Caenorhabditis elegans: one gene and its partners. The protein of the gene in region 1 interacts with the protein of each later gene in a pairwise test. Each region holds a gene or a part of one and is shown in the gene's direction. Other genes may lie near its edges.

The links.
Region 2: the proteins of ifd-1 (region 1) and pfd-6 interact in a two-hybrid assay, tested with the Caenorhabditis elegans proteins (one large-scale study listed by BioGRID).
Region 3: the proteins of ifd-1 (region 1) and dyb-1 interact in a two-hybrid assay, tested with the Caenorhabditis elegans proteins (one large-scale study listed by BioGRID).
Region 4: the proteins of ifd-1 (region 1) and unc-83 interact in a two-hybrid assay, tested with the Caenorhabditis elegans proteins (one large-scale study listed by BioGRID).

Annotation. Positions count from the first base shown.
Region 1 is NC_003284.9:8,819,114-8,827,209, reverse strand, and holds ifd-1 (Intermediate filament protein ifd-1), read left to right. Parts: upstream 1-2,761; 5' UTR 2,762-2,771; coding exon 2,772-2,981; intron 2,982-3,740; coding exon 3,741-3,854; intron 3,855-3,900; coding exon 3,901-3,998; intron 3,999-4,047; coding exon 4,048-4,549; intron 4,550-4,596; coding exon 4,597-4,665; intron 4,666-4,708; coding exon 4,709-4,873; intron 4,874-4,918; coding exon 4,919-5,081; intron 5,082-5,740; coding exon 5,741-5,841; intron 5,842-5,889; coding exon 5,890-6,045; intron 6,046-6,100; coding exon 6,101-6,211; intron 6,212-6,279; coding exon 6,280-6,318; 3' UTR 6,319-6,507; downstream 6,508-8,096. Other genes in the region: rcs-1 (RING-type domain-containing protein), read left to right, coding at 353-414. UniProt on the Caenorhabditis elegans protein: Cytoplasmic intermediate filaments provide mechanical strength to cells. Not essential protein.
Region 2 is NC_003279.8:7,281,065-7,286,577, reverse strand, and holds pfd-6 (putative prefoldin subunit 6), read left to right. Parts: upstream 1-2,815; 5' UTR 2,816-2,837; coding exon 2,838-2,895; intron 2,896-2,942; coding exon 2,943-3,013; intron 3,014-3,058; coding exon 3,059-3,183; intron 3,184-3,321; coding exon 3,322-3,448; 3' UTR 3,449-3,614; downstream 3,615-5,513. Other genes in the region: F21C3.6 (DUF4200 domain-containing protein), read left to right, coding at 816-871, 977-1,135, 2,031-2,223, 2,368-2,451, 2,550-2,618; rde-2 (SH2 domain-containing protein), read left to right, coding at 3,707-3,942, 3,986-4,136, 4,197-4,346, 4,394-4,492, 4,611-4,670, 4,717-5,118, 5,167-5,386, 5,432-5,513. UniProt on the Caenorhabditis elegans protein: Binds specifically to cytosolic chaperonin (c-CPN) and transfers target proteins to it. Binds to nascent polypeptide chain and promotes folding in an environment in which there are many competing pathways for nonnative proteins.
Region 3 is NC_003279.8:1,479,791-1,490,070, forward strand, and holds the start of dyb-1 (Dystrobrevin-1), read left to right. Parts: upstream 1-3,292; 5' UTR 3,293-3,315; coding exon 3,316-3,445; intron 3,446-4,928; coding exon 4,929-5,086; intron 5,087-5,132; coding exon 5,133-5,269; intron 5,270-6,063; exon of another isoform or gene 6,064-6,135; coding exon 6,136-6,221; intron 6,222-6,265; coding exon 6,266-6,461; intron 6,462-7,388; coding exon 7,389-7,620; intron 7,621-7,816; exon of another isoform or gene 7,817-7,837; intron 7,838-7,978; coding exon 7,979-8,305; intron 8,306-8,633; coding exon 8,634-8,885; intron 8,886-9,277; coding exon 9,278-9,491; intron 9,492-10,280. Other genes in the region: acs-16 (AMP-dependent synthetase/ligase domain-containing protein), read left to right, coding at 1-70. UniProt on the Caenorhabditis elegans protein: Plays a role in cholinergic transmission and as a functional partner of dystrophin (dys-1), necessary for muscle maintenance. Required for localization of ctn-1 near dense bodies in muscle cells.
Region 4 is NC_003283.11:6,462,117-6,468,956, forward strand, and holds the start of unc-83 (Nuclear migration protein unc-83), read left to right. Parts: upstream 1-2,948; 5' UTR 2,949-3,096; coding exon 3,097-3,168; intron 3,169-3,317; exon of another isoform or gene 3,318-3,517; intron 3,518-4,270; exon of another isoform or gene 4,271-4,451; intron 4,452-4,888; coding exon 4,889-4,987; intron 4,988-5,848; exon of another isoform or gene 5,849-6,057; intron 6,058-6,193; exon of another isoform or gene 6,194-6,333; intron 6,334-6,476; exon of another isoform or gene 6,477-6,616; intron 6,617-6,827; exon of another isoform or gene 6,828-6,840. UniProt on the Caenorhabditis elegans protein: Cargo-specific adapter that is involved in nuclear migration during development and thereafter.

The DNA of each region.
Region 1 (8,096 bases):
GCTTTTAGTCACAAAAGCTCATCTTTTAAGCAGAAATTCATAAGGAGTGAATATTTTTGTAACATAAAGACATAATGATTTCATGATGTTTGTAAATTAACAATAACCATCAAAAATAATCAAAAATGAACAAAAACACTCCCCCAAATGTCGAAGCTATTGAGGTGACTCATTTAATGGAAAATGGGTGCCGCATTAATAGAAACTGCAGCACTAATTTTCGAAAGGACTATTGGGGTGCAGCATTAATAGAGAAAATACGGTATTGCGCAATGTGTCAAATAGCTAAATAGGAAACTTCTACCGGGTACCTCATCAAATTTCTGAAACCATAACAATTTAGGATTTTCAGCTCAACCAACCAAAATGGATGACATAACAATCAACCTTGCGTCTTTCAATTTTGGAAAATAAAATATAACGGATATTCTACTTATATGATTCAATAACCATTCATCTAAAATTAATTAATGATATTTTCCAACTTTACTGTTTTTTTTTTACTAAATGAACATTGTTTTAAATTCTTATAAGTTATTCATTTGACAGCCAGTTTATGATTTTCATCCAAATAAAGTCTTGACAACATGAATGAGACACTTGTATGTGATTTAAAGGACAACTAACTATTGAAAACGAGTTGGAACCTACCGAAAATTTTGTAATGAGAATCCTATAATAATTCTCAAAAATTGTCAAATGTCCCGTGTCACAGCTATAGGAAACCAGAAATGACAATCATGATTATCCGCTCAAAAAGTAGCTTACTAGGGAATATCTTCCACCAGCACGCCTCAATCTGAAAGTTTTTTAGGTCAAACGGAAGCTAAGATCATTGGCTAACATAATTTATTTTTCGTTTCTGCTGGCGAGTCACACAGGGCTGAAAATTTCCGTCTGAAAATTTAGTACTATTTCTGTTGAAAAGCTTGTTTTTAACGTGTAGAAAAGGCTACATAAAAGTTTTGCACTGAAAGCACCGTTTGAATGGCCGATTGGTTAACGTTTACGTCAATAATCACATTTCGGTGGTTCTTTTCCCACACGGGTAAATTTAATTTTGCAATTTTTCCCAAAACCTGAAATATGCTCAAAAACAGTGTTACATGAATTTTTAGAAAGTCTCGTATCGATTTTAAGCTTCTGGAATAGCAAACCAGCCAAATTCTAATTTTTGGAAAGTTTTTACAGTTTGAAGATTTTCAAACTTGAAGATTCGCAAACCTGGAGCATGCGGATTTTTTTTCACAAATTGTTTTTTTTTTCAAAAAAGTTTTAAAAAAAGGTTCACATTGTAGAAAAACATTTGTTAGTCGCATTCTACCGTTTTTGATGTCTCATTGCACTTTTCCGGCGAAAAATCGGCAAAAACTCACTAGATCTATGCTAGAAAACACCCTATCTTTGAAGACATTCATCTCTGTTGGCAAGTGAAATGCAAAAAAGTTGTCAACTGAAAAGTTGTTGCATATATGCTAAATAACAAATTGCTAGTTGCAACTTTCTTGCTATCTTGATACAGAACGGGGACACAGCCGATCAAAGAAGCTACTCATTTTGCTCATGTTTTCACGATCATATCTCGACAGTCTTCCAAGATAGCAAGAAAGTTGCAACTAGCAATTTGTTATTTAGCACATATGCAACAACGTTTGTATCGAAAATAAGGTATATTTTTATAATTGATGAAAATACGATAATTGAAAATATGAAAATACGTGGCCGCGACCCCGACCCAAAAGTGGGTCGGAGATGCGACCCCGACCCCGAACCGGCCGACCCAAAAAAAGGGCGACCCACTCCACAGGCCTAGCTGTGTCTAAAATTAGCATTTTTTCGAAGTTATGAATCACCATAAAAAAAGTTTGAAAATTTTTTAAAGGTTTTTTACGAATGCCGTTCATTAAATTAAATGTTGAGTATATGAGTTTAAAATACCCTGAACCGTTACTCCTTTTTTTGAAATTTGTGGGGGATCTCTTCTGTTCTGTTGAGATGGCAAATGGCATTCTCATTTTTTCACGTTCTATCACTATTTTTGTTACAGAGAATGAAAACGGAATACTACGTGATGAATGTTGACATATGTATGTTGATCGCAAAATTAAAAAAAAAACTAGAAAGTGAAAAAAAAATTAATTTCGCACATTGAAAATTATTTTTGAAATAACACCCTTGTCTTTGCTAATGTGATATAAATATTTTCTATTAAAACACAAATTGAAAAATTAGGAAGGCAAATCTAAAAGATACTTTGGTTAACACTTATTTTTGCGCTTTCTTCCTAGCCATTGTAAATTTCAACTGACAGGACTGATGAAGTTTGAAATATTCCGGGTCCACTGAGGAATTTTCTAATGATAACATTTTCGGAAACGTTGGACGTGATTTTCAATATGTACATAAGCGCACAACTACGGAAGGGCATGTGACTTTCTTCCTTTGAATAAAAATTTGCGGTAAACTCTGATCCCGAGCCACTACCAATTTCTCACACTTAAATTTTAAACACGATAATTCGTGCCATCTGTACAACTTTTCCGCACTATGATACAATGGCAGCATTCTTGTGGCACTGAAAGTGGTGAAAAAATGTTGATAAGAGAATACGAAGGCTGATAACAGAAATATGCACACTGTTTGTCAGATTATTCCCGTCTTTTCATTTTCATTCACATCACCGCTTTGTTTTAAGCTTTACAGCATATTTCAGTTTTTTTTTGTTTGAAAAACAATATCGTTCACATCATTTTGATTCCAGGCTTTAAAAAATGAGCAAACTCAACCCTCGTGTAGCCCATAATCCGGTGCTATCTCGAATAATTGAGAGTGGGCGAACAAACTTGCCATCTGGAATTACTTCTGCTGGCTCACTGTCCGCATATGCCCAAGCGGCAGCTGTTACGATTCGTGACAATAGAGATCGAGAAAAACGAGAGATTGCAGATTTGAACAACAGATTGGCTAGATATGTTGAAAAGGTTAGTTTTGAGAGCACTGGAGATCAAGAAACGTTTTGAAGAAGTTAAGAAAAAAAAAAAAAAAAACGTGCATTAAATAAAAAAAAAGATAAAGAAAATCCATGTCTTCAATGTTTTCAAGCCTCATCTGTTTTAAAACTAGCATAATTGAAAGCAATATGACCAAACCCTAAACACGGCTATCATAATTGCAAATAAAAAAAATTTCAGATCAGAGAATGAAAAGTCAATTTTTTGTTATTGGTTTTTAATGTAAGGCACACAATTTTATAGACCGAATAACTATCAAATATAACCTATCGTTATTAAAAAAATTGTGCCTACCATAATTCTATTCAAAAAAAGAGTTGTAGTGTTTTTTCAAGTTTTTCTCAATGAACTGCCCATAATTTTGTTCACGTGTTCTAATTTTAAAAAACATTCATTTAAAAAAATATCAAAAATAGAACAATAACGTTTCAGGTGTCTGTTTTGAAACGCCTGAAGTTTAAAAGCAACACGGTTTTATGAGGAAAGGTTTAGTTTAAAAAAATCAACGTTTAATACTCTGGTGTGTAAATTAACAAGCTGTGAATCTAAATCAGTAATACATTTAAAAGAACTTTTGTGGGTTTTCTTCCAAATGGTCAAGCGCGCATTAGTTTTTAATTTGCTTTTTTTAAAATTGAAGTGAGAAGTTTTGATCAAGTTTCCATAAGCATGCATGTGCTTTTTCAATGATAAGATTTAGTTAATTGATAAGTAAAAATAATATTTCAGGTCCGATTCCTTGAAGCTCAAAACCGGGTTCTCGAGAATGACATTGGTCTTTTCCGCCAAGCTGCTCATATTCATACTGGCAAAGTCAGAGACTACTACGATGCAGAGAAAACCGTCAGTTTCTAGTATTTAGGTTTTATTTCATTACTCAAATTTACAGTCATTGGCAACTCTGGTTCGCGAGCAGGAAGCCAAAGTGTCATCTGCTAAGCAGAATATTCGAAAGCTGGAGCCAGAAATCACAACGGCCATTAGAACGTGAGATAAAGAGATAAAAAACATAAACTTCAATTACATTTTGTTTCAGCCTAGCGAGTTCACTCGAACATCGCCAAAGAGTTCGTTCTGATAAAAAGGAACAATTGAAGCATTTATCTGATTTGGAGTCTGAGACAGCATACATCAAAAGACTTATCAATGATTGTGACGATGAAAAATCTCACCTGAAAACCGAAATTTCTCGCATTCGTGGAGAAATCAAGCGAATTTTGGCACTTCGTGACAAAGAACGCAATGGATTTTCTCGTTCCCAAACAGCTGCTCAGGATCTTTTGAAGAAGTTGAATGCAACGATTAGTACTCACGAAATTGCGATTCGTGAAGAAATTAACAAGGCCAGACGTGATTCTACAGACAAGAACCGCGAGTTCTTCCACAGAGAGCTTCACATGTCAATGAAAGAAATCCGTGATCAATTCGAGTCAGACTCGAAGAAAGCTCGTAAAACATGGGAGGAGTGGTACAAGAAGAAGATTACCGAAATCAAGAAACGTTCTGAGAAATTCAGTCTTACCCAGAATCAAGCAAGAGTAAGTGACATGCACTTTGAGGTTGTGAATTAATTTGTTATTTCCAGGAAGAAGTTCTACGTATCAGATCATTGCTTAATGAGTTGCGCACTAAAATTTCCGACGCAGACTCGATGGTTGGTTTTGATTTTGGAAAAACTAATTTAAAAACAATTTCAGACCCAAGCTCTTAGCAAGAGAATTGAAGATATGAAATTCCGTGAAGATGAAGAATTGAGAATGTTTGAACAATCCCTCACTGAAAAGGAACTAGCAGTGACGAGAATGAGAGATGAATGCGCAAAACTATCTGTTGAACTTGAGACACTAGTTGAAAACCAGATCGTAAGTTCAATTTTCTATATAAATAAAAAGAACCATGATTTACAGAACCTCCGCAGTGAAATTGCTCACTACCGCAAGTTGATGGAACAAGCTGAAAATCTGCGGACAAGCTACCAAAGCGATTTCGTAATCGATACTCCATCGCCTTTGATGCGCACATCTTCTCATCATTATGGATCATCATATTCACTGAATGTTAGAGATACACGTTAGTCAGTTTACAATTTGGTTCCTGTTAATTTGTGCTTTACAGATGGCGTTTTGACCAATGCGCGATTGCATTAGTTTTTTTTTTTAATTAGCTATAAATTTTCTTAAAGGTGACGTAGCGCTTGCGGGGAAAGTGTTTTATCGTAATCATATGGTGCCAAAATGACCAAATATCATAATAAAACTTTTCGAAAAGAATTTGGAAAAGTGACTATTACTCAGTTTTTGCACTCATAATTTTGGATGTCGACCAAAAATCATTTTTCTACTAATTTTGTAATTTAATTCTGTTTTAATTATTTGTGTTAAAACATTCTAAGGGGAAAAACATTCTAACAGTCAACATTGGTCTGTATTTCCTTGAAAGCTTTTCTTTTTTTAATTTTACAATTTGTTAAAACATTGACGGTAAATTTTAAAAATCCAAAAGTTTTTAAAGTGCTATACCATGATATTTGATCGTTTAGGATCATTATATGTGTATTTAGACAAAATCCCTCCTTGTTGGTACATTTTCGGTCGAAAGGTAAAGTTTGGCATTTTTAGACCAGTAAAGCCAAAATAATTTATTCACCTGTAAAAGTGGCACATTCTCGGCTTTCAAGCATTCTATCGTCGTGACCGTAATCGAAACAAAGTAGTTAAAAATAATTTCAGATAACAAAACAGTACACCATGATAACTACGACATTAGCTCCGCATCGACCATTAACACCCAACAGTTCCGAAGCTATGGAAAAGGAGATGTTAAGATTATTGTTAGTGAATATTATTTTGGGCAATTCAAACTGAAAAAAAATATTTAGGAGCACAAAGATGAATCAATCGTCATTGAAAACTCAAACAGCTATAAGTCCAAAGATCTTTCTAACTGGAAAATCAATCATTATGTGAATGGAGCGCTAACTGGAACGTTCATCTTACCAGTTGCAACTCACATTCACCCACATGAGAAGATTTCGGTATGATAATTAATTTTGATTTCATTTTTGAAATATATATTAAAAACAATTACAGATTCATTCATTGAAATCTCCGAATTTAATGGATGATATTGTTGCTACTCAAATCTACAGCTTCGATTTCTCCAAAAACACAAAGACAGTTCTTCTTGATGATGTTGATGACGTAAGCCAATTTCATTGAGTTTTGCTTGTAAACTTCCCTATTGCTAATCAAAAATGCATTGTTTACAGGAAGTTGGATGGTATGCACACGTATCGTACAGTCATTGATGGAAACCGATAATTCTTTCATTTTAACGTTTCCTGGAGCATCCAACGTACAATGTTTGAGCACTTTTCTATGGGAAACACATCATTTAACATTCAAAAATTAACATGGCATTTCTTATCTATTTATTGTACGCTTTGTTACGCGATGCTCGATTTAAATTCTCTATGAGTGCAATGAACTTTACAAATAAGACGATGGCGAGTCTCTCGAAGTACAAAAAAGGGAACTGAGAAGACATTAAGAACTCGTGGATTAATGGCACGCATTTCGAAATGAAAATGTTGTGGTCAAAAATAGCAACTTTTGGAACTTATACATATTAAACTGAGGATTTTTTTTATGGAAAAAACATTGTAGAAGAAAATCTGTTTTCAGAATTGGTGAGGTGAAGTGATGCATAATTATGAAAAATCGTGTTACTCTGATTTACGGCATCTTAGAAGTTTTAACGTCAGTTCTCATTCTGACAACCTTGAGTGGGAAGTTTTTTTTTGAGATTGAAGTTTTGAGACTGTTGTTTCAACAGAAATCAATTCATTTTAGAAGCTTGGCATGACAAGTCAAACATGGCCTTTCTAACCTTTCCGGCATGATCATGAGCATGACAAAAAAGTTTGAGAAACGTAAAATATACTGCGTTCGGGGGGAATCGAACCCCCGTCGAATGCTTGGAAGGCATCCATGCTGACCATTACACCACGAACGCATAGTTGAGGCATCAAATCTTCAGATGGAAAGATTTCATTTCATCTTCAGAAACAGTCATTATAACAAGAAAGATATCCACAAGGATACCTGGTTGTTGAATTATTCCTATGAACCTGTTTTACACTGTCTAGGATTGATGAGAAATAAAGCATGATAAATCAATTGCAACTTCATCAAAACGAAACGAGCGTTCGTGGTGTAATGGTCAGCATGGATGCCTTCCAAGCATTCGACGGGGGTTCGATTCCCCCCGAACGCAAAAAATGTTTTTGATTCAACTTTTTTTTAATTCTTAGATCTTCCTACAATATATCTAATTTGACGCGTGTTTTACTTCCGGCTTCTATGCTTTACAGGAAGGCAAAATTATTCAAAATGTTCGATCAGCAGTAGATCACAAATTATATTTCAAAGACAATGTAAAATATAATGCGTTCGGGGGGAATCGAACCCCCGTCGAATGCTTGGAAGGCATCCATGCTGACCATTACACCACGAACTCACAGTTTCATCTGCCGAAACGGCAATTGATCCTGAATCATGCAAAAAACGTGAATTTGAAGCATAGCAGATCCATTTTTGATATCTCTCACACGGCGTGTAAATTGGTACCTCTGGCCTAGAAAAAAGCTTGAAAAACAAATGTACGCAATTATGAAAATGCGCGTGGTGTTTGCGGACTTGACTACCGTAGTCCACATAAATTTTAGCAATTAATACTTCCCGGTTTCGGTTTCGTGTTATATGAAAATATCCTTGAATTCAAGCAAAAAATGCATTATCTTTTTGGAAAAGAATAAAAGAAACACTAAAATTACATTAAATTCAAATACAAAAAAAAGTGAACTACGCAGAAAACGAAACAAGGCAGTTTGAAGCTGCATTAATGAACAGCAATTTTAAGTGTAAACTTGTGATGGTGGGTATACATTTTATGTACTTAAATTGTTCAAAAACCTTCATTTAGTCAATTGGTGAAGTTTCAAAACCTTTGTGAATCTAGTTTTTGAAAAAATTTCAAATTGGTGCCAATTTCACTGATTTTTTGTGAATTTCCGAGCTAAAATTG
Region 2 (5,513 bases), on another chromosome or scaffold:
GCACGCTTTGGAACTCTACTTTCAACTGGTTTCGAAATCTTGTGTTGCAGAAAATAAATACTACAAATGGCACGGATCTATTAGCAAGTGGGAGTCGGAAAAACAGAAAATAGAATGGATGAGACATTTTAGAAGTGGTAATGTATTAAATGTTTTTTGAAATGTTTAGCAAGAGTTTCAAAACTATCCAGAGAGCTGAACAAATATAAAACTGTTTCATTCCTTATATAAATATGAAATAACTTATTATCATGAATTGGATATTTAAAAATGATATTCAAATCTTCAAAGCCATCAAATTAACTTGCAGAGTTTTGTGGTATCAACTAGTTAATAAAATATATTTGGTTTTAATATTCGAATGATAAATATCATTAATGATATAATGATTTAATGATACATATTTTGTGTTGGCTCATTATATCATCATTTACTATATATAAAGCGCGTGTCCTTCTGTCCCTATGTAGTTTGATCTTTGATCAGAGCAACGAAATTTTGGGAAACCTTATGCTAAATGCGCAGCAGACATCGATCGAGGTCCGCGATAGACACCGTATATCTAATGTGTTTTCTCAAAAAGTCGGGGGCCGCGCCGTAGGTGCGGTCCACGGCTGGTTTAAATATAATGTATTATATATAGAATGCTTTGTAGACCAACACAGTTGGAAGTAACAAATTATTCCTAACTTTTCATAAAAGTTGAGGTGTCACTTTTCAATTTTGCAATTCATTGGAGTACACGTGAATCAAAATTTTGAATATCTAGTTAAGAAATTTGCAAACTTTGAATCATTTCCGAAAATTAATGCAAAATGGCCAAAAAAACGGGCGGTATCGAAAAAAGAAAAAAGAAAGAAGAGCTCGCTAGGTGAGTTCTTCAGAGGAGGTCGGCACCCATTCGGCGCCAAACTAATTGTCGATCAACGGCAGATGTCCATTTTTAGGACGGGGGACCATCCAATTATCGTTTCAGAACAAAAAAGTCATCGCCATCGTCGTCACCGACAAAAAGTGAACGTGGAGAACGGGAACGTACAAAATGGAGAAAAAAGCGAAGGGAAATTGAGCTCAAGAAGGTAGCTGAACAATTGGAGCAGCATCGTATTAGAGAAGAGGCGGAGCTTGCAAAAAGGTAGGAGTAATTTCCTTTTTTAATTATAAGGAACTTATTTCTTTTGCTTTGTTATTCATAAAAAAATATTTAATTGCAAAAAGTCATGTTTGTTGGTCAATTTCTTCAACCATTTTTACCGATTTTCATAAAACAGGTGGAAAAAAGCAATTTGATATGATAATCGATGTAGGTGGAATGTTGGTTTTTAGCTATTAAATTGAAATGTTTCTCAGAAACATAATCAAATAGGTATATTCGTATTAAAGTGAGGTAAACTTTGATATTTGGCATTACATCACTAAGTTTCAAAACTTTTTTTTTTCCGTAACTTAAAGTTTGGGTAGCATGAATTAATACTAATCTGGAACTATTTAAGATCCCTATAAAATAGTTGGCAACGTTTTGATTGAATTGGGGTTTGTCTTGAAGTACTCGAAAATTTTCAATTTCTGTAGTATCAACAAAGAGCAGCGATAAAAACCTAACGTAAACGCCACGTGGAGCCAGAACGTCTCATTTCGGTTTGATCTACATGAAATGCGGGAATTGAGACGCAGACATCTCATCTGATTTCGCACGGTGAAGAGCGTGCGGACGTCACAATTTTCTGGAACACTATTCCCGCATTTTTCGTAGATCAAACCGCAATGAGACAGCCTGACACCACGTGAAACGCGACTTTCCTAATAAGAACCAATCGGCGACTATCTCCGCCTACTACTGAAACAATCAACGGATGAAGGCGGAGTAGCGTCACTGATTGGTCTGAACGTAGGCGGAGCGAATCCCTTATTGGTCTTGTAGTTTTCACTTTAGAGTGATTGTAAAGATTAGAAAAGTTGCAATTTCAAATTTCGTTTTGTTATAAAATAAAGTGAACATTCTGATTTGTTGAATTTTCAAACAATTTCAGAAAAACGGAAAATCAGAAGAAAGAATTTCGTAAACGCCAAGAAATATTCGAGAAAGTATTTCAAGACGCTGAATCTGGACAAAAAGCAGTTGAGAATGTGATGAGTGATTATCGGGAGTCAAGAAATGCAATCAAAGTGCAGTTATATACCGATTCAAATGATTTTATTCAAACACAACAAATTGAAAAATCGGTGAGTTTATGGTTTCTGTTTTACGATTTGTTTTATGATTTATTAGTATATTTGGATACAGTGTATATTAAATATTTTATTCAATTTTTTTTAGACTTTCAAAAAAGTGGATCAAGGCTAAAACAAAATTGATTTTTTTTCCAGCATTTCAACGCTGCTGGAGACCGACTTCGTTCTTCTGAAATTCAATTATCAAAACTAGAGTCAGAATTGAAAAAGACAAAACAGGTAAGAATATATTTTTATGTTTATAGAACCTAGGGAAATACCCTGAACTTACAAGAAACTTATTTAATTATTGTATATAATTAAGCTAAAACTTTCAGATACGCGAAGAATATTATCAAGATTCCATGCAAAGTTGGTTTTCACGATTCTGGAAATATCTATATTGAAAATATTTCGTATTGTCACTATTGAATGAAATTTTAGCAAAAGCATAACAAAATTGAAGTTAACATATACAATCCAGTTTTGAACTTCCGCCAAAAACGGAAAATGCGTCAAGAAAGCTTGCTGGCGCTTTGAAGGATGGCGCAGAACCCGTTTTTCTTCTAGATTTTTAAACACAATTTTGTTTTCTTTCACTTCTTTTCCCACTAAAAACGATCAAAATGGCTGATATGGCTAAATTCGAAGAAGAAGTTAACAAGCTCAGAACTCTTGAAAAAGGTTAGTAACTGTTAATTTAAACAATCTTTTCAATCGTTTAATTATAGACCGCGAAAAGTACTTCACGAGTCGCCAAGAGATGGAAATGAGATTAACTGAGAGTAAAAATGTGAAAGCGGTAAGAAAAAGTTTGAGATTCAGTTTTCATGTTATCTTCATTCAGGAGCTTGATCTGATGGAATCCGACTCGAAAGTCTACAAACTCATCGGAGCGGTTCTTGTTCGTCAAGATTTGGAGGAGGCTCGATCGACTGTGGAGAAACGGCTTGAGTTTATCGACTCTGAGACGTGAGTTGTAACGTTTATCATGTTTCTTTAGTATTACTTCTTGCACGCTATTGATTTACACGAAACAAATAAAAATAACAAATAAATTTTACCTTTAAACGTTTTAAAATGCAACAAAACTTTAATTACAATTTTCAGCAAACGAGTGGAAGCCAGCATCTCAGACATTTCGAAGAAGTGTACGGAACAGCGAGACAAGGTGATGAATATGCAAAAAAGCTTCCAGATGATGGCTCAAGCAGCAGCCCAAGCACAGAAGAAATAATCCAGTTTGTTCTATGAATCTCATATTTTTTGCTCTTAATTTGTTATTTTTTGCCTATTCTTCATCTCTGGTGTTTCTCCGAAACGAGAAGATCACATTAATTTTTCTATGAAAAAAATAAGTTTCTTGTTTCGGGGAACCATTTACAATAAATGCTTTCAAACTGTTTTATACCATTTGTGCTCACGTCTATGTTAAAAGTCATTGCTAATTACATCAGTTCTGATTTATAACTATATTCATTTTCTTGCTATTCAGATGCATAATGGGTACCATTCTTATTTTCCTCCAAATCACTATTATGCTCAAAGTCAGCCATCATCGTCGTATAATCCCCAACCACAAATTCAACAACCGCAAACCCAAATATATGGATTGGTAGTTGGTTACAATAAATATGGAAACAGAAATTATCTTTTCTATACCAAAAATATCGATGGATTTGTCGAAATCAGTGGAAATATTCAGAGCCTGCAGATAGGACGCTGGCTAAAGTTAGACATTATTTTATCTGATTTTATTAACTAGCAATTTTAGATTAACTGTTTGTCAGAACTTCGTGGGACAATACGTATTGGATTCCTCAAATAGTTGTGGATATGAAAACTGGGACGTTTTGCCGAATCACAGAAATTCATCGGCGAGATTCTTTCCGAAGTATGAGGCTAACGATGAAGGAGAAATTTTGGTAATCTCAAATGGAAAAAGTTTTAATAAATAAAGAGTACGGATTTTTATAATTTTTCAGATAACAGCTCGATTTGATGTAATAGTAGATCGGAAAAATAATTTGTATGATTTCACCAGTTACGATATTTCCTATGATCATATTATTGACGACTTTAGTCTGATCAAATCATCATGTCAACACTATGATGGACGCAGTTTTATTGTTGAAGTAAGTTATCGATTTTAAAAAAAACTATTAAAATAAAAATATTGCAGGCTCAAGCATCTCTGGCAGGTTGGGTCGCATTGAGTGTGCATGAAGATCCACAAAAGCTACACACCTGTGATGCTGTAAGCCGAAATGGATATCAATCAGTATGTGGCAAAAGTGTCCTGGTTCATTTTGAATTGTTCACATTTTGGTTTTTGCTTATCAAAATTTCCCAGAACATATAAGCCACAACCTCCTGCAGTTTACATAATATAATTTCAGCTCCCGAATCCAGTCGTTGATTCTGATGTACAGTATCTTCATGATACAAGACTGTTGGATGTATGTGACTTATAGTTCAGAATTTTTCAAGTAATCACATTTTTAGATTATGACTGGTAATGGATATGTTCAAACACCCGAAACCGACGTACAAGATCAACAATCAAGTCAACATCAAGAAGACGTGCATTCTCAAATGAACTCGCAGACATCTGATTCGTACAATTCCTCTAGAGTTGTGTCAGAGAATCGGGAAATACCTCCGGAAACTTTTCGAAGCCAAAGTATCGAATTGAATCAAGTTGATTCATCCTTGTCCCAGACTACAATCTCAAGTCGAGCAGCACCAGTTATTGATTCAAATCAGTTATCAGATGAAGATGAAATTGATGATGAAGATACATACGGAACACGTGGAACATCTAATATTCCGATGAGACCGTTTATTAAAGATTTAGCTCCAACGATGCTTCAACTGCTTCGTCAAGATAAAACTGATTCCGAAAAAGTACGTAATGCCAGAACAATAATATTAATCTTCATCACCATATTTCAGCCTCAATCTGCTTTATGCACCGTTGTGCAAAAAATCGATGGCTTTGCAATTTTGTACACAGCCAAAAGAGACGTTATAAACGTTTTGCTTCAAGAAAGATCGTGTGAAGGATTGGAAAGATCCCCTCAACTCGGAGACGTGGCATTCTTCGATATCTTGCCTCGTAGAATTGAAACAAAAGATAGGCTCATTTTCAAGATTCCATATACACATATTGCAGGTATTTTACAATTTACCAATGTTTTAAAAAAACTTTAATTTTAAGTGAAAAAGAAACCAGACACGCCAGATTCTCTCCTTAAAATTGATTGCTTTAAAAACTCGGTCAGATGCTTCGGAGGAGTGCT
Region 3 (10,280 bases), on another chromosome or scaffold:
AGTGCACACGAAAATTCAAAAATTCCGGATTCGCGCCATGCTGGAGAGCGGACAAATCTCTGTTTTTTAATTTTAAGATGTTTTTTCTGTGTATTGTCTGTAAAATGGAGTTTCGATAAATATTAAAAGTCTGCTTTCTTGTTTTCTAGGCCACGAAATGGAAAGTTAGTCCGTCGCGTTAAAGTGCAGTCAAAAAATATTCAAAACGCAAACTTTTTTACTTATATTTTTAAACTGTTTTTTTTTAATTTTCCAGATGAAAAGTTAATGAAAAAGTAAGGCCACCAAGTGAACCTAACTTTGGCCTAACTTTTCACTTGGTGTGAAAAAAAAAATGAAAAAGTAACGCTTTTAAACGATTTCGAACCTGAATTAATTAATTTCACTGATTTACGCCTGTAATCGTGTTTTTTAATCGAGCAAAAATGCACCGAAAACATTAAAAATCGGTGGAAAATAACAATAAATAAAATAAATAAAAATAAAAACGTGCAAGCGCGCTCCATCGAACAAATCCAATTGGCGGTAATTAAAATAAGAATTAGGCAAAAACTGAGATTTTTTCAATTTTCAAAAAATCATATAAAATTTAGAAAATTTTTTTGAATTTTTTTATCATGATATTATGTCATTGTGGTACCATAGGCGTGTTTTAAAGCAATTTCCCCACTAGCGCTACTCCACCTTTAAACGATCCACGTGTATTCAGCTCGACCAACGCCTCGAAAATTTTCTAATTTTCAAAATTTTTTTTAATAATTTTTTTTTTCATTGCCAAGAGGAATTTCACCGCAGCGCGTGCAAAAATGTCTGCATTTGCGCGTGACGGTGTTTGCACAAATGACACCAAATGGTCGAGCTGAAAACACGTGCGATCTTCGTTTAAAATTAAAAAAAAATTGTACCAGAAAAAATTGATACAAACCTTAATGAGCTCGTGAAAAGTTACACGGATTTCTGGCTTCCGTCATAAATTGAAATGGAAGAGTTTTTGCCGAACTAGGCCATTTTGGCTCGGCCATATCTGGGGTAGATTTACGGCGCGTTGCGTGTCGCGTCGCGGCTTGATTTTAGTTGTCAAACTGAATGTATTTGTCCGTGTGGAGTACACAACTTTCCCAAGTTGAGTGGAGAAATCGAGTCAAAATGCAATAACATTGAATAAAGCCAATTAATAAAAAAATTTATTTGAAAAATTTTAATAAATTTTACGAAAATCGGCGCTTAAATTGAAAACCAATTATGCAAAATGCGATGTGACGTCACAGGGTATTTTCCCGCCTTTTCGAGTCATCATTTTAGCAGTTTTTTGTGTAAAATTCGTGTAGATCACGGGTAGATCACACAATTTATCTCTTATTTCGTATTTCTGTTTTTTTTTTTTTTTTTTTTTCATTTTGATCTACATCAGGGGTGGGCGGCAAACGATTTTTCCCGGCAATCGGCAAACCGGCAAATTGCCGGAATCGAAAACTTCCGGCAAATCGGCATACCAGCAGTTTGCCGATTTGCCGAATTTGTCGACAAATTAATTTGTCGCCCACCCCTGATCTACACGAATTTTAAACAAAAAAAAACATTCCGCATAAAACCGCCTCCTTTTAAAATTGTGAAAGTGGAGAAACAAACACACGTTAAGCCAAAATTTCTTTCATTTCGTGGCCTAGAAAATCCAAAAACTTAGGCCACTAATTTTCTCTTCCTCATCCACTTCGTAATATCCCTGTGTATAATGCGTATACTTTTACACCTCATTGAGTTGAGACGGATGGGGTGAGGGGTCCCAATGTTTCAGTGGGGGCCCCCTATCTCTTTTTCTCTGCACTCTCTCTCTCTCTCTCTCTCTCTCTCTCTCTCTCTCTCTCCATCTTTCTCCGTATGCTCACATTCATCCCACCGCTGCTCTCTGAGCCAATACGTCTCCCCCCCCCCCCTCCTCTCCTTTTGCACATCGATCCGTCTTGTGTCTCTCTTTCTCTAATACTCTCTATTTCTCTAAGTCTCTCTCTCTCACTCACGTTTGCCTAAATTCACTTTCTCCAGTGTTCCCTTGAGTGCTCCGAGAGCAAAAGCGTATACCACGAATTAATTTTTAATTCGTGTATTTTTGGCTCGATTTTCCCTTTTTTTTCAACATTTTTCTAAAAATTATTGCTGCAATCGCGCTTTAATGGCAATATTACCTGAAAATTCGTATGTTGTTGCAATGCAATCGCGCTCTATTGGACAAATTTTTAATCCGAATTTTGAAGTTTTCTTTAGTGGAAATCTCTATTGAAATTTTTTTATAAATTGTTTATACAAACACGCTCTAATGATAAAAAGGCTTTAAATTGTGTACTCCGCGTGGAAAAAAGCAAGTTTTTTGTTGTATTTTTTGAAAATATTTTTTTTAAAGAACTTTTTTTGAATACTCTGTGTAGTTCTCGTGGACAAGTTTGGGCCTATTTCGCTTAAAAACCTGAAACACGCGAAATTCCAGTTTCGGGGGATTTCAACTACCCGATTAGAAAAAAAACTTTTTTCACAAATTCAATTTCTGCCGAATCAAAATTCTCCGGAATTCAAGTTTCCGCGAATTTCAACCTAAAAAAATTTTAGCTCAAAAACCGTAAGGTAGTTGAAATCCACGGAAACGAAAATTCCGGCGAATCAAGTTTCCGTGGATTTCAACGCTTATTGAACAAATTTCTACAAAACGCCCCCGGGAGTTCAAATCCGCGGAATCGAAATTCCCTGGGATTTTGATTTACCGGGATTCAAGTGGTGTCAATGGGAGAGGAAATGCATTTTCTCTTACGCGCGTGGTGTCAGAGTGTCTCATTTCGGTTTGATCTACGTAGATCTACAAAAAATGAGGGAAAAGAAGAGACGCAGAGTTCTCAACTGATTTCTCATTCCCGCATTTTTTGTAGATCAAGCCGTAATGGGACAACCTGATACCACGTGACCGTTATTATTTTTCTCTCAATCCTGAGATTTAAAATCCCGCGGAGTCGAAATTCCCCAAAAATATTTTTTGTACTCCTCGTGGACAACCTCGTTGGTTCCCTGAAACATATTGGCTTAGTAATGTGCCAAGCAAATCAGCGCGCATACATGCAAAACCCATTAGGCTCCCCCCAAATGTCTTCTCTCCCAGAGTTAGACTCCGCCCACTAGGAGCCAGAGCTCCCCCAATTTTCTTTGTTTTAAACCCTACCACTTTTTAGCTCTGGCCAGCCATTTTGTGGGTGGAGTTTTGGTTTAAATTTTTTTAAAATTGATTTAAAATTTAAATTTTAAATTTCAGACACTCTGGGTTTTTCTCCTGAAATGTTGTGGTCAAATGGTGGAGGAGGACCACGTGAGCCGAGCAGTGCACCATCACCAGACCATCATCGTGCAATGCATTCTGTACCACCAATTGTGGCATCTGAAATGCAACAATTGATTGATGAAATGCGTGGGTGTTCAATTTTGCGGGAAAATTGGCTAAAAAACGCTAAAAAATTCCCGCGTTTTTGATTCTCCGGAATTTTAACTTCTATGGGATTATTTTTCGGTGGATTCGAATTTTCGGAAATTTTCAATAAATCTTTTTTCATTAGAGATTTTCAAAGAAAAAGTAGAAAAAATACCTAACTATGTAAAAAAAATTAACGGAAAATCTCCACGTTTCTAAGTCTTCGGAATTTAGATTTCCCTGGAATTAAGTACTCGGTGGATTTGAATTTACGGGATTTTTTTTCTTTAAAATTTTTTTCAAATTTATGTTCAAGTTAGCACAGCAAAAAAATTTTTTTTTTAATTCACGTTTTTGAATCTACGGAATCCAATTTCCCTGGAATTTCGCTTCCGCGTATTTGGATTTCTGAGTTTTTAAATATAAATTTTTGCAGAAAATGTGAAAATTACGTGGAAACTCAAAATTCGCCGAAAAAGGACAAAAAATCTCGAGTTTCCAATTTAGCGGAATAAAAATTCCCGGGAATTTTGTTTCCGTGGATATTAACTACCCAAATTTTTTACCATTTTTCTCAATTCCAATTTCAATTTTTTCATGGAAAAATTGGTTAAAAAACGCAAAAAATTCCCGCGTTTTTGATTCTCCGGAATTTTATTTTCTCTGGGATTTTTTTTCGGTGGATTTGAATTTTCGGAAATTTTCAAAGAAAAAGTAGAAAAAATACCTTATTATGTAAAAAATTAACGGAAAAATTTCCACGTTTCTAAGTCGTCGGAATTTAGAGTTCCCTGGAATTAAGTACTCTGTGGATTTGAATTTACTGGATTTTTTAAAACAAAATTTATACGAAATGCTCAAAGTTGATACACTCTCCAAAATGTTCATGAAATTTACAAGTTAACACAACAAAAAATGTCAAAAAACTCCGCGTTTTCAAATCCCCCATTATCGAAATTTCACGGGAATCCAGATTCCAGGGAATTTGGCATTCGGGGAATAAAATTTTCGGATTTTTTTCTATGAAAATTAGTCAGGGTCTGGATAAAATAACAAACGAGTGGAAGCAAAAATTTCGCCGCAAAAAGAACAAAAAACTCGAGTTTCCAATTCCGCGGCATAAAAATCCCGTGAATTTTGTTTCCGCGGATATCAACTACCCGACTTTTTTAAAAACATTTTTTCTCAATGCTCAATGTTGTCGAAAAAACACGGAAATACCTTCAAAAAAAATCCAAAAAAAAAACCCTAAAAATTCCGGTATCCAATTCTACAGAATCGAAAATTCCCTAAGAATTTTGTGGATATCAACTACCCGAGTTTTTTTTTGAAAATTCATGAATTTTTCCGCTACTCCTCTTGAGAAAGGGAAGCTTATAAATAATTCTTCTTTGCGAAAAAGTGCAAAAAAATTATTGGCTTTCATTGGTTAATGCCCAAAGTTCAGAAAAAAAGTTGAATCATCAATAGAGCGCATTTTCAGGTCTCCAAGATTTCGACTCCATCAGATTTGCCACGTATCGAGCCGCCTGTAAACTGCGATTTATTCAACAAAAGACGAAAGTTCATTTGGTAGATATTTGGAATATGATTGAAGCTTTTCGAGAAAACGGACTCAATGCATTACCCCTACATACTGTGGTATGTTGCAAGTGTGCTCTATTGAGAATGTGGGGGAAATTTTCAGATCAAAACGTCACGCGCCGAGCTTCTGCTAACTACAGTATTCCACAATTTGAATAAAAGACTTGTAGCGTCACAACATGTGGACACGGATGTATCGATTTCTTTGCTACTCGCGTTTTTGTTAGGTGCTTATGATAAGTGAGTTTTGGACTCCTCTCGGACAAAAAACTCACGCTTCTGAATCCCCGGAACCCAGATTCCCCAGGAATTTAGATTCGGCAAATTCGAAATTCTAAGAATTTTTTCTTGTGTTACTGCGTGAAAACTGTGTATTTAGAATTCCAATTTTTACTGCAAAAAATAACGAAAAATATTCGGGTTTTCGTGTCTCCAGAATCTAGATTCCCTAAGAATTTTGATTCCGCGTATTGGAATCTACGGGATTCAATCTACACATGTTCTGTAAATAACAGAAATTTTGGTAATATATGAAAAAATTTAAAATCCTAAAACTGAAAGAAAATTTCCGGTTTTCGGATCCGCGGAATTTCACATTCCACCGGAATTTGGTTCCCACAGATTTCAACTATCCGAAATTTTTTCTGTTTTTTTTTGTTTTCAGCATAATGTTTTGATTTTTCAAAAATGAAAATTGACTGAAAGAGCAGAAAAAATCTCAGGGTTTCATATCTCTGGAATTAAAATTTCCCAGTGAATTTTTATTCATATAAGGACACTTTGCAAAAAAATTTTTTTTTGATAAAGTCACGGATTTCTGGCTTCCCTCATAAATTGAAATGGAAGAGTTTTTGCCGAACTAGGCCAGTAGATTTACGGCGCGTTGCGTGTCGCGTCGCGGCTCGATTTTAGTTGTAAAACTAAATGTATTTGTCCGTGTGGAGTACACGACTTTCCCGTCCGGCAGGCGATTATCAATGGAGCGCGAAAAATTCAATGAGGAAGGCCAAAACCCCGTGCGCAGTTAGGCTGTAATTCTCACAACGACACTCCGATATTCCGCTACCTAGAAGTGACGTCACACGCTTCAAAAGCCAATTTTTCAGACAAAATACCGGACGTTTGACGGTTTTTTCAATAAAAGTCGCGTTGGCAACACTCTGCGCTGGAAAATTGGTGGACAAGCTGAGATGTGAGTTGCGCTTGCGAATTTCAAAAAAAAATCTGAAATTTCAGACATTTTCTCTCAAATCGCTGATTCGAATGGATTAATGGATCATATTAAATTTACTGATTTTTTGCAACAAATCCTCTCCCTAACCACTGCAGTTTTCGAAGCACCGACGTTTGGATTTTCCGAAAACGCGGTTAATCAGTGCTTTCATAAGGATGAGAAAGTATCTTTGAATGTGTTTCTGGACACTTTTTTGAGGTAGATATCAATTTTGGAAATAAATAAAAAAATAGATTTTAGAAAAAGTTTTGAAAAAGTTTTGAAAAAATTAACCTTTTACACAAAACTACGTTAGCATGTGGTGCCAGGTTGTCCAATTACGGTTTGATCTACAAAAAATGCGGGAATTTTTTCGCCCAAAAAATGTGACGTCAGCACGTTCTTAATCATGTGAAATCAGTTGAGAACTCTACGTCTCTTCTCCCGCATTTTTTGTAGATCTACGTAGATCACGCCGAAATGAGACACTCTGACACCACGCGCGAAAGAGAAAATGCATTTCCTCTCCCATCGGGGGGAAAACCAGTCCCTCAACTCACCCAGAATAATAATTTAGGTGTCTTGGAAGTTCTGAAACACCTAACATTTTGAAAAATTAGAAAAAATAATAGACGTAGGGCTGAAGTCCTCCCGCGGCCACGTAAGGCATCCCCGTGGCCTAGGATTTTCAGAGCGGTGTAACTTTTGAAAAACTGTAAAAATTTTTTTTTAATTCTGCAATAATTGTATCTATAACTTATTCAATGAAACCAAATCAAAAAATCGAATTTTTCTTTTCATGGGGTCACGGGTCCCCACGCCGCCACCGAAGTCCTCGCCGTGGCCTAGAAACTTTCAAACAGTGCATCCCTAAAGCCACTGCGCCGATTTTCTTGAAACTTTATCAGAACACTTTATATAACAATTTCTATCAAATTATCAAATAAAATCGAATTTTAGTTGTCATGGGGTCACGGGTCCCCCCCCCCCCCCCACGGGGTGACCGAAGTTCTCACCGTGGCCTAGAATCTTCAAAATGGTGTAACTCTATAGCCACTGCGTTAATTTTCTTGAAAATTTATCAACCAACACTTTGAAACCTGTTCTGTCAAATTATCAAAAAATCATACAAAATTAATATTCCAGCGATCCATGTCCCCCATGCATAATGTGGCTCCCCTTGCTACATCGAATGGCGTCTGTGAGCAACGTGTACCATCCGGTGGTGTGTGATGCGTGTCAAGTCAGAAGTTTCACAGGATTTCGGTATAAATGTCAGCGATGCGCCAATTATCAGTTGTGTCAAAGCTGTTTTTGGCGGGGAAGGACGAGTCAAAATCATTCAAATGAGCACGAGATGAAAGAATATTCCAGCTATGTGAGTTTTTTGAAAAATCGATTTTCCACGTGGAGTACACGAAAATGTATCTATAAAGCGCGCGATAAAATTATTGATTTTCCGCCGGCGATGAAGAATCGATAAAATTATTGATTTTCCGCCGGCAATCAAAAAAATCGATAAAGTTATCGATTTTCATTCGACAAAAACGATTAGTTAACAGAGAAATTATCAATTGCTGGACAACAAACAATCAATAAAAATGTAGATTTTCCGCCGGCAATCAAAAATCGATGAAATTATTGATTTTCCGCCGGGCAAAAAAAAAATCGATAAAATTATGGAAAAAAGCGTTCTCAACTCCAAAATCAATAAATCAATAACTTAGTAATTTCAGAAATCGCCGACAAAACAGCTCGTACACTCAATTCACAAAAGTCTCCAATGTATTCCTGCCACGTCAACCGTCGGCGATGCAAACATCGATATTTTTAACGCAAAAATCGGTGGCCCGGTCAGCAGCAAACCTGCTCGACCGCTAAACCTGAACAACATCGTCCCGGCGACACCGACGACGATCCGCCGGCAACACGCTGCCACGTCATCAGCGGACTGGCCGACGTCACCGGTACTTCTGCCGGGACAGGCGTCGCATGGAGGAGTTATTGATGATGAGCATAAGCTTATTGCGAGATATGCAGCAAAGTTGTCGGGAAGGGCTGATGTGAGTTTTTAATCGAAAAAAATCAGGAAAAAATCAATAAAAATCTTGATTTCCCGCCGGCAATAAAAATCGATAAAAATCTTGATTTTCCGCCGGCAATAAAAAAAATCGATAAACATCTTGATTTTCCGACGGCAAACAAAAAAAATCAATAAAATTATTGATTTTCCGCCGGCGATAAAATTCGATTAAATTATTGATTTTCCGCCGGCAATCAAAAAAATCGATAAAATTATTGATTTTCCGCCGGCGGCAGAAAGTCAAATTATTGATTTAATAAAATTTGATCGATTATCGATTTTTCTTTTTAAAAATCAATAAATTGCAGTATCCCCTATCAAACGGTCGAAGTATGAATAGTTCAATGGTCGGAGACGAACGGACCCTTATTGCTCAACTGGAAGAAGAAAATTCAATGATGGTACGGGAAATGGCTCGACTGGAGAGCCAAACAACTTCCGATGACGGGCTCGCCGGGCTCCGCGACCGGAAAATGGAATTGGAAGAGAAAATGTTTGAAATGCAACAGAGGAGGAGAGAATTAATGATGCAATTGGAGCATTTAATGGCTCAGTTGAATGTAGGTCATACCTACTGTGGCTAACGCGCTCTATAGATAAACAATGTAAAAATCGATAATTTTGCAGAATTCAAAAACAATCGTTATATTTTCCTCCAAATTTAGAAAAAATACTTGATAATTTTCAAAAAATTCGAAAAATCGATAATTTTTATATTTTAAGAAAACAAAGTTTTTGGAGTTTTTGATTTTCCGCCGGAGATAAAATCGATAAAATTATTGATTTTCCGCCGGCGATAAAAACCGATAAAATGTGTAAACCTGTCGATTTTTTAAGCTTCAGTAAAAATCAAAAATTCAATATCGGCTTTTCTGAAAAATTCAACCTTCAAAAAATCAATAAAATTAAATTATCGATTTTTTGATTTCAAAACAACAAAAACCTTTTCCAGACGGGACCCCAACCATCAGGAGGTGTATCATCTGCTTCTCTATCCCAATTACCATTCACTGCATCGGATCAACAGTTGACTGGAGTCAATTCGACAGTAGCAAATGCATTCCGTGCGGGAAGTCTGCCGGCGACAAGTCTACAAGGAGACTTATTACATGCTGCTGATCAAATTACTACTAATATGAGCGATCTTGTGCGGCAACTTGATTTGGGTGAGTTGTGACGCTGGTTCATAAATTAAAATATATATAATGACTTGGTGACTTGGAAATATTTTCCAAAAATCGATAATTCTTATTAAAAAATCAATAATATTGGAAAATCGATAAAATTATTGATCTTCCGCCGGCGATAAATAACTATGATATTATTGATTTTCCCCCGGCAATCAAAAAAATCGATAAAATTATTGATTATTCGCCGGCGATAAAAAATTGATAAAAGTATTGATTTTCTATCGGCAAAGACTATCGATTTTCTCTCTTTTGCGGCAACTCGATTTGGGTGAGCTCCGACGTTGGTTGATAAAAATCGATAATTATTTTGTTTGGGGAAAAAATCGCCAAAAGTCGATAATTTTAATAAATCAATAATTTCGAAAAATCGATATTTTGGAAAATCGATAAACATAGATTTTTCTGATCACCGCAACTCGATTGTGATAAAATCAATAATTTTGAAAAATTGGCAACTCGGAAAAATGGTTCAATTCCAAAATGATTATTACAAAATCGTTTCGAAAATCGGCTAATTGGGAATAACGAAAATTTCAAAAAATCGATAATGTCCAAGAATAGATAATTTTCATATTTTGATACTGCTGAGAAATTGAGAATTTCTGAAAATAATTTTACTGTTGGTATCTAAATATCAGTAAAACTCTTCGCTGCGAGACCCACTGCCTACGCCTTGAAAATGAAAGTTCCCAGCTTCACAAATGTATAATAATACTATTCGCTGCGAGACTCACTGATGCACCATTAAATTGGAACTTCCGAGTT
Region 4 (6,840 bases), on another chromosome or scaffold:
GGCCAAGCTTGGCCCAAAAATATTAGCTTACTATTAGAACAAAATTTGGTAAAACTTGGGGAAGAGTTGGTTTAGGCTATGATGAAGTGTAACCCAACTTTGGCCGAAGTTTTGTCCAAAATTTTTTTGAACTTGGCAAGAGTTTGACAAAAAATGGGTCAAACTTGACCAAATGTTTCCAAAGTCTTCCCAAAACTTGCCCATCGTTTGCCCAACTAGTCCCAACTTTTGACACAATTTAACATTTATTGAGTTCAACTTAGATAATTAGCTAGAGCCAAACTAAACATGTTTTTGACATTTGTGATGCTATCAGAAAATTATTTTTATGCAATTAAAATAAAATAAACACTACTTACTAATTTTCTATAGAACCTCGTGTTCCTTTCAAAATTACAATACGATCCATCTTGTTCCCACAATCACTCTGCTTCTCAATCATCTGTCTATCTATGTCAGTCTCTATAAATATATTCACATGATCAATTTCTCACATTTGAAAAAATTGGCACCCAGCCAGCAATGTTGCACTGTCTTCCTCTCAACCCTTCTACTCCCACACGCTTGCCCTAGACTATCATTCTTCAAAAAGAAAACTAAAAACAGCTCGATAATCGAATGTGTGTCTCCTGATGGTTCCCACGTCGTCAACACAAACTGTTTGACTTTTTCAATCATGTCTTTGACTTCTTCAACTGTCTGCGTTTCTTCCACACATACACAAATTATCATTTCTTTGTCGTTTTTTGTCTTGGTGCTGACCGCCTTTAGTTACAGGCGCCCGTTGTTTTCTTGCATTCCTGCCAATTTTCACAGTAGCAATCGAGATAGTATCAGGTGGTAGTAAATGTTTACGTGTCGACTGAGTTTTTCAACCTTTATGACTCCATTGGCATAGGAGTATCAAGTAAATTATCAATGAACTGATTAGCATCATGTTCATTTTGAAGATGACATTGTTTGAAAGGTTTTCGGAGAAAAGGAAGTATTCTGAAATATTGGAATTTAAATTAATTTCTATTAATGTGCTTACAATTAATATTGAAATTTTAAAGTGTTTTTGGAAATTCTCTGCTGGCATTTGAACACTCAAAATTCTTCAATTAACTGATCAGCTCAGGCATAATTTTCTTTTGAAAACTTTTTAATGGCTTTACGCATTTTGAGAAGGAGCTGAAGTTTTCTAACTGTTTTTGAAAGTGTTACCCCTCTATGAGTCACTGGGGGCAAACGAGAAGCGCAGTTTGGGCGACATTTTGTTGCATTATCAAATAAAAACGGTTGTCTCTTCTTTTTTATTATCAACCAATGCAGAGCCAACATTCTACCAAATTGATAGTAATGCAAGTACTTGCCGTAGATTCCCTCAAACATTTGAGACAAAGGGCCTAAATAGTTTTAATTGTGAAACAAATTAGACACGACGTTCGAAGTTTATTCTGCAGTTTTGGTAATGCGTTGTAATTTTGATGTTAGTCTAGAAACAAATGTTTTCTTTTTGAAATTTTGCAATGTTCTTCAGAATATTTCAAGTATGAAATTTCTAAATTGTACTTCAAATCATTTCTAAAACTCGTAAAACATTCGGGCACTACAAAGTGTTCCTTTTCTACTTTAGTATCACAATGTTTCGCACATTGGTGATAAATGAGCCGGGGCTGTCTGCCGTTTCCGACTCCATTAACTTGGGTCCATTATCCCATCGTTTCACTGTGTTTCTATCACATTTATTGGGGGAACTTCCTGTTGCAACAAAACCAATAAATTCGAAAAGTGTCAGGGCCATGTGCTGTTGGACATCTATTCGTGAACATTTTCAAAATTTCGATTTGTTCCTTTCCAGTTTTCCATAGATTCAATTTTAATTGAAAAATGAATGGGTGGAAACTTGAATTTAAAAAAAAGGAATTTAATTCAATTTTCAACAAGTTCAAAAATATTTTTTCCAACGTTTTGTTAATTGATATTTTCCAGAACTTTCTAAATCAAGTTACATTTTTTTTGAAAGCTACAACCTATTTTGTAGTAATTTGGAAATTTCTTGGACCTCGTTGTGATAATTTCCATAAATTTTGCTTAATATTTTTTATTGGAAATCACGAGACTTTTTCACACAAAATAAAATCTTCCAGCTGATTTCCCTGGTCCAATCTCTTTTTTATCACTTTCACACCTATCTCTTCATATTTTCATATCTTCATAAATCTTCATAAAAATTCATAAAACAATATCTCCATCATAATTATCATCTTTTATTATTTTATCAGGTGTCGAAAAGAAACGAAAACTGTGTGAATGACATGATAATCCATCATCATCACAAGCTTCTCTTCCCAACTCTCTAGATTCTCCTCTCTCATCAGTATTATTGTTTATTAAGGCGGAGACTTCGGATTGGGGGGCAGATTTCGAGCATCTCACACTTTTCTATGTTTATCTTTTAATTTGCGAACATTTTTGCGGGCGATGGCTTGTTGTCCAGGGCATGAAATCCATGGATTTTTATTTGGATTTTCAAAAACTGGCCTAACAAATTTTATGGAAACCGTACTATACATAAGTAAAACATTTATGAAGTTTTTCGTGTGTTTCTACATTTTTATTAAAAACATTTTTTATTATCTTTAAAAGGATGTTTTACTGCTCGACACAATTTTCATAGATTTTTGGTAAACTAGGCTAGTTTTGAATTGAGTATATATTTTGCAAATTTTCTATCCTCAATATGACTTGAATTTCCGTTTCTTGACTTTGATCTCAACAGAAATCTCTTCTTGAAATTTATTTTCAGCTCCAATGAAACAACTAATCTCTTTTTCTTTGTTTTTCACGAAATTTTTCCTATTTTGTTCTACACACAAAAAATTGTATATACTTTTTCTATTTTTAAATTTTCACCTCATTTCGTTTTGATTAAGTATTTTTCCGTCTAAACTAAATTTTTCCAGATCCGTTTCTCATCCGTGATCATATTGCGCAGATGCGTAATTGATCGTCCACCCCTACCAGTACAGTATCCCACGTCTGGATACAAACTTCTCTGATTTTTTTATTTTTATTCCTGGACACCGAAAGTAACCCGAAAACAGGTTACGAATGGACGTAATGGACTCATTCTCGGAGGTCGAGATGCCCAATGATATATCATCGGAGGACCATCTTTTGAAGGTGAGGCAGAGCTTTAAATTTTACGAAAAAAAAATACTTTAAAATTTTCAACGCATTTTCTTGCATATTGAATTCATTTGAAAAGTAAAATTTCGTTAAAAGTAGGAGAAAAAAAATTAAAAGTTCGATTTCTTTATTCAAACCAAAGTAGAATGTAGTTTTTTTCTAAACCAAAACGAGCGAAAATAATTTTATTTTTCAAATCTATTTGATTATTGAAAGTGCCTTTTTGAAAAATGCTTGAGCATTTACCCTTGCGCCATCAATTGTTTGCAAAAAGCTGTCAAAAAGCCCGAGAGGCCGAGTTTTCAATTTTGGCGCAAAAAATCCCGAATTCCACGCTATCTTTTTTTTTCTTTCGATTGACTAAAGACGAACGGCTGAAGTTTTTTTTCGCTGTGCTTCAAAGATTTATAACTGGAGGTGGAAAGAGTTAGTGTCGCACATTCAAATTCCGCATCGTTTAGTTTTTCTTATCGAATGTTTTGATCTGGTGGGGGACGACGAAGTAAATTGAATTGAAAACTGTGGTTATCTTGAAAAGAAGTTTGAAGGAGAAAGTGTAAAACTATTGATGACGGGAGTTTAAATTTCAAGAGATTTTAAGACATTCCCATATTTCAGTGTGCGAAAATTTATCATTAAAAAATATTAATTATTTCTATGTGCTAAGTACATTTATTAGCAAAAAAGCGCAGAATCAAGTTCAGACAACATAATTATATTGATCTTCAGAGATTTTGCACATAATTTTGAGAGCCATTTTTCAGGAAAAACATAAAAGTTATCAAAATTGGTCCGCTAAATGATGTGTAAAACCTTTAAAATGCGATACTTTTTAATATTTAAAAGATTCGCATGAGAAATAATTGACTGACACCTTAGGTTCCTTGTAAAATATTTCATTGTATTATTAGTAAGTATAGGTATTTCCCAGATTTCCTTGTTAAGGTACCGCAAAGTCAACACATTCATGGACACCTTTTTTTGTTGACTTACCCCATATTTCTCTTTTTGTTTCCAAAAACAATATGCGGACCATTGAATCCTCACGCCATTCACACACATTCCCAGAGCGCGACTACTAGTAACTTTGTTTGGCAAAAGCTGTTAGTAAGAAGAGAATGATTCCGAGTGCCCAATACCATAAGTGTTTCTCGAGGTGCGCATCTCGGCAGTGAAGAGCAACTTGCAAGTTCGAGTGCATTTCTCCAAACTTGGTTGTTCCTACACAACGATTCCTGTGCCATGTTCCTTGATCCTCTCAATTTTGGCAATTGAATCGATTAACGTCAGGTTTACTCTTCGTTTTATTGCAAAGTGGGCCGCCCGGAAGGTCGAGAAATCGTAAATTGACTCGGAATTACCAATTTTACAGTCACACTGAAAGCAAAGCACTTCTTTTTGGTAGAGCGGGTGGCCATTGATTGTCGTTAAATCGTTTGTGAGGGTCATTTAGAAAAATGGGCGCATATTTTAATTTTTCAGAATAATTTTGACAATTTTAAATAATGAAAATAACAAATTACATTTTTTTGAAAATCTTGTTTCACCTTTTTTGGTTTTTTATTTGTATCAAATTATAAACTGTTTTATTAAATTGCACTACGCAGCTGTACAAGATCGAATTGCGCGTGTACAACCATCGTTAAAAATATCTCCTAGATATCTTTCCAGCTGTTACTTTGCCCATTTTAATGATCAATAATTTAATTTCCAGGTCATCGAATCGTCGGCTGAGGAAGTGGATATCTTTTTGGAGAACTGCTCCTCGCTCTACAATTTAATCCTCGACTCGTTGCACAACCTCACCTCAAAAGTAAGTCTTATTTGTTTTATTGCTTGTGTCGTTTGGTTGCCATGGATCAAGTGAAACTGGGAGAGTAATTAGGTGTAGCTGGCCTCAAAAGAACCTCCTGTTTTTCTCGATTTTCTTCTAGTTTTTCTTTGAACAAAGTTTTTTGCTTAGCCCTCTGATATCAAGATCAAGTTTTGCAAACTTGAGGCAGTTGTCCATTTGATTGAGCAAGAGATAGCAATAGTTTAAGGGGTCATCAATTATCAAAAAGAGAAACGTTACGAGCCTGTCAATTGAACACAAGCCTGGTACGAAAATATTACGGCAGATGTGGTGATGGATAACTGAAAACATTCACTTGACAAGCCTTTTGCCTGTGCTTTAGGGAATTTTTGAATCTTCCAAATACAGTTTTTACATAAAGTTTACCAGAATTAATTTCTGGTTGAAGTTTCAAGACTTGTTGATCTAGGAATGATAAATTAAAATAAACCCTTCCCATTCACAAAAACATAGCTAACTTATTCTTGCTCTAACTAGTAAGTTTTGTTCACTCCATGAACTACATCTAAATTTAAGCGGTTAATCATAGAGTAAACAACAAAAAAAAACCAATTTTTGAAGGTATAAAGTTGTACTTCTCAATATCCGATGATTAAAATTTTTAAAAAGAAAGTATCCTCAAATCGTTTGCTCTTTTTCAATGAGATAACAAATGACCACTGCAACTCATCTCTCTGTGCTTCTTATCCTCCCACACTCATTCAATATACTCACCCAATTTTTGTGGCAATTGCCGTTTGTTTGGAAGGTCACCCATTAATCAAATGTAGTTGGTTGATTGTGCAACCTCTACTACTAAACATTTTGATGAAGATCCTTCATTTTATCTGCCACTGACTCCTGAGAAAATGCCACACATTTCGATTCAATTAGCTTTCCTAAATTATTATACCAAATAGTATCGAATAACATCTCGCCCCCCGAACCACAGAAAAGTGGCCCCCAATAGTGTGCGCAGTTTTGCCGTTCCGAATGAAATTGGAGATTGTTGAGAACCAAGAGATAGATGGGAATTGAGTTGAAGTTATTGTTAGAAATTTTAAACTTTTCAATGATAAATTTTGACACAATAGGGGATCAGGTTGTAATTAGAAGATTACCAATTACTTTTTATTTTCATCACTCCAAAAAAGTACAACTGAATTTTTCAAATATCTAGTGGTAACCCGAAAAACTCATGTCAACTTTCTGAATCCAAAAATGCTGCAAATTTCTTGTCAAAAATGCTGTCCACAGCAAATCCCCAATGGACGTGTTCCGATTGAGGCAGTGTTTGCTTACTTGGGATGTGTTACTCTCGTTTTCTTATTCGAACGTCCTCCTTTTCTTTTGGGGAGTAACATAATCCCGTTCAGACAGACACAGATTGAGCAGATCATTTGTTTCCTTTTAAGTGGGTTGGCACATTTTGCTCTTTATTTTTCGCTTTTAGATAACTGAGATGCTAATTTTTTTCAGATCACTTAACTTCTTTAGTGAACTTATAATGTTGTTTTTGAAAAATTGTTTCCAAATTCTCAGAAAAAGATATCAGAATCTGGATATTTTCAAATTTTAGAACGAGGCGCACTTTTATGTTTTTTTCAAAACTTTTTCAATGTTTTTTTAACTGATTTTGTAAAATTCATTTGCCTTAAATATCAAATTTTTTGAAGCAAAACATAATGAAATTCTTCTCAAACTTAAAGCCTTCCATCTTTAGTTCCAAAATTCGTTCCGCATTGAACAATAACAAGATATAGGGGCGCGAACATGCGTGAAGAATACGAGAACAGTAACGGAAGAAGAATAAGGAGAAAAGACACGGAGTC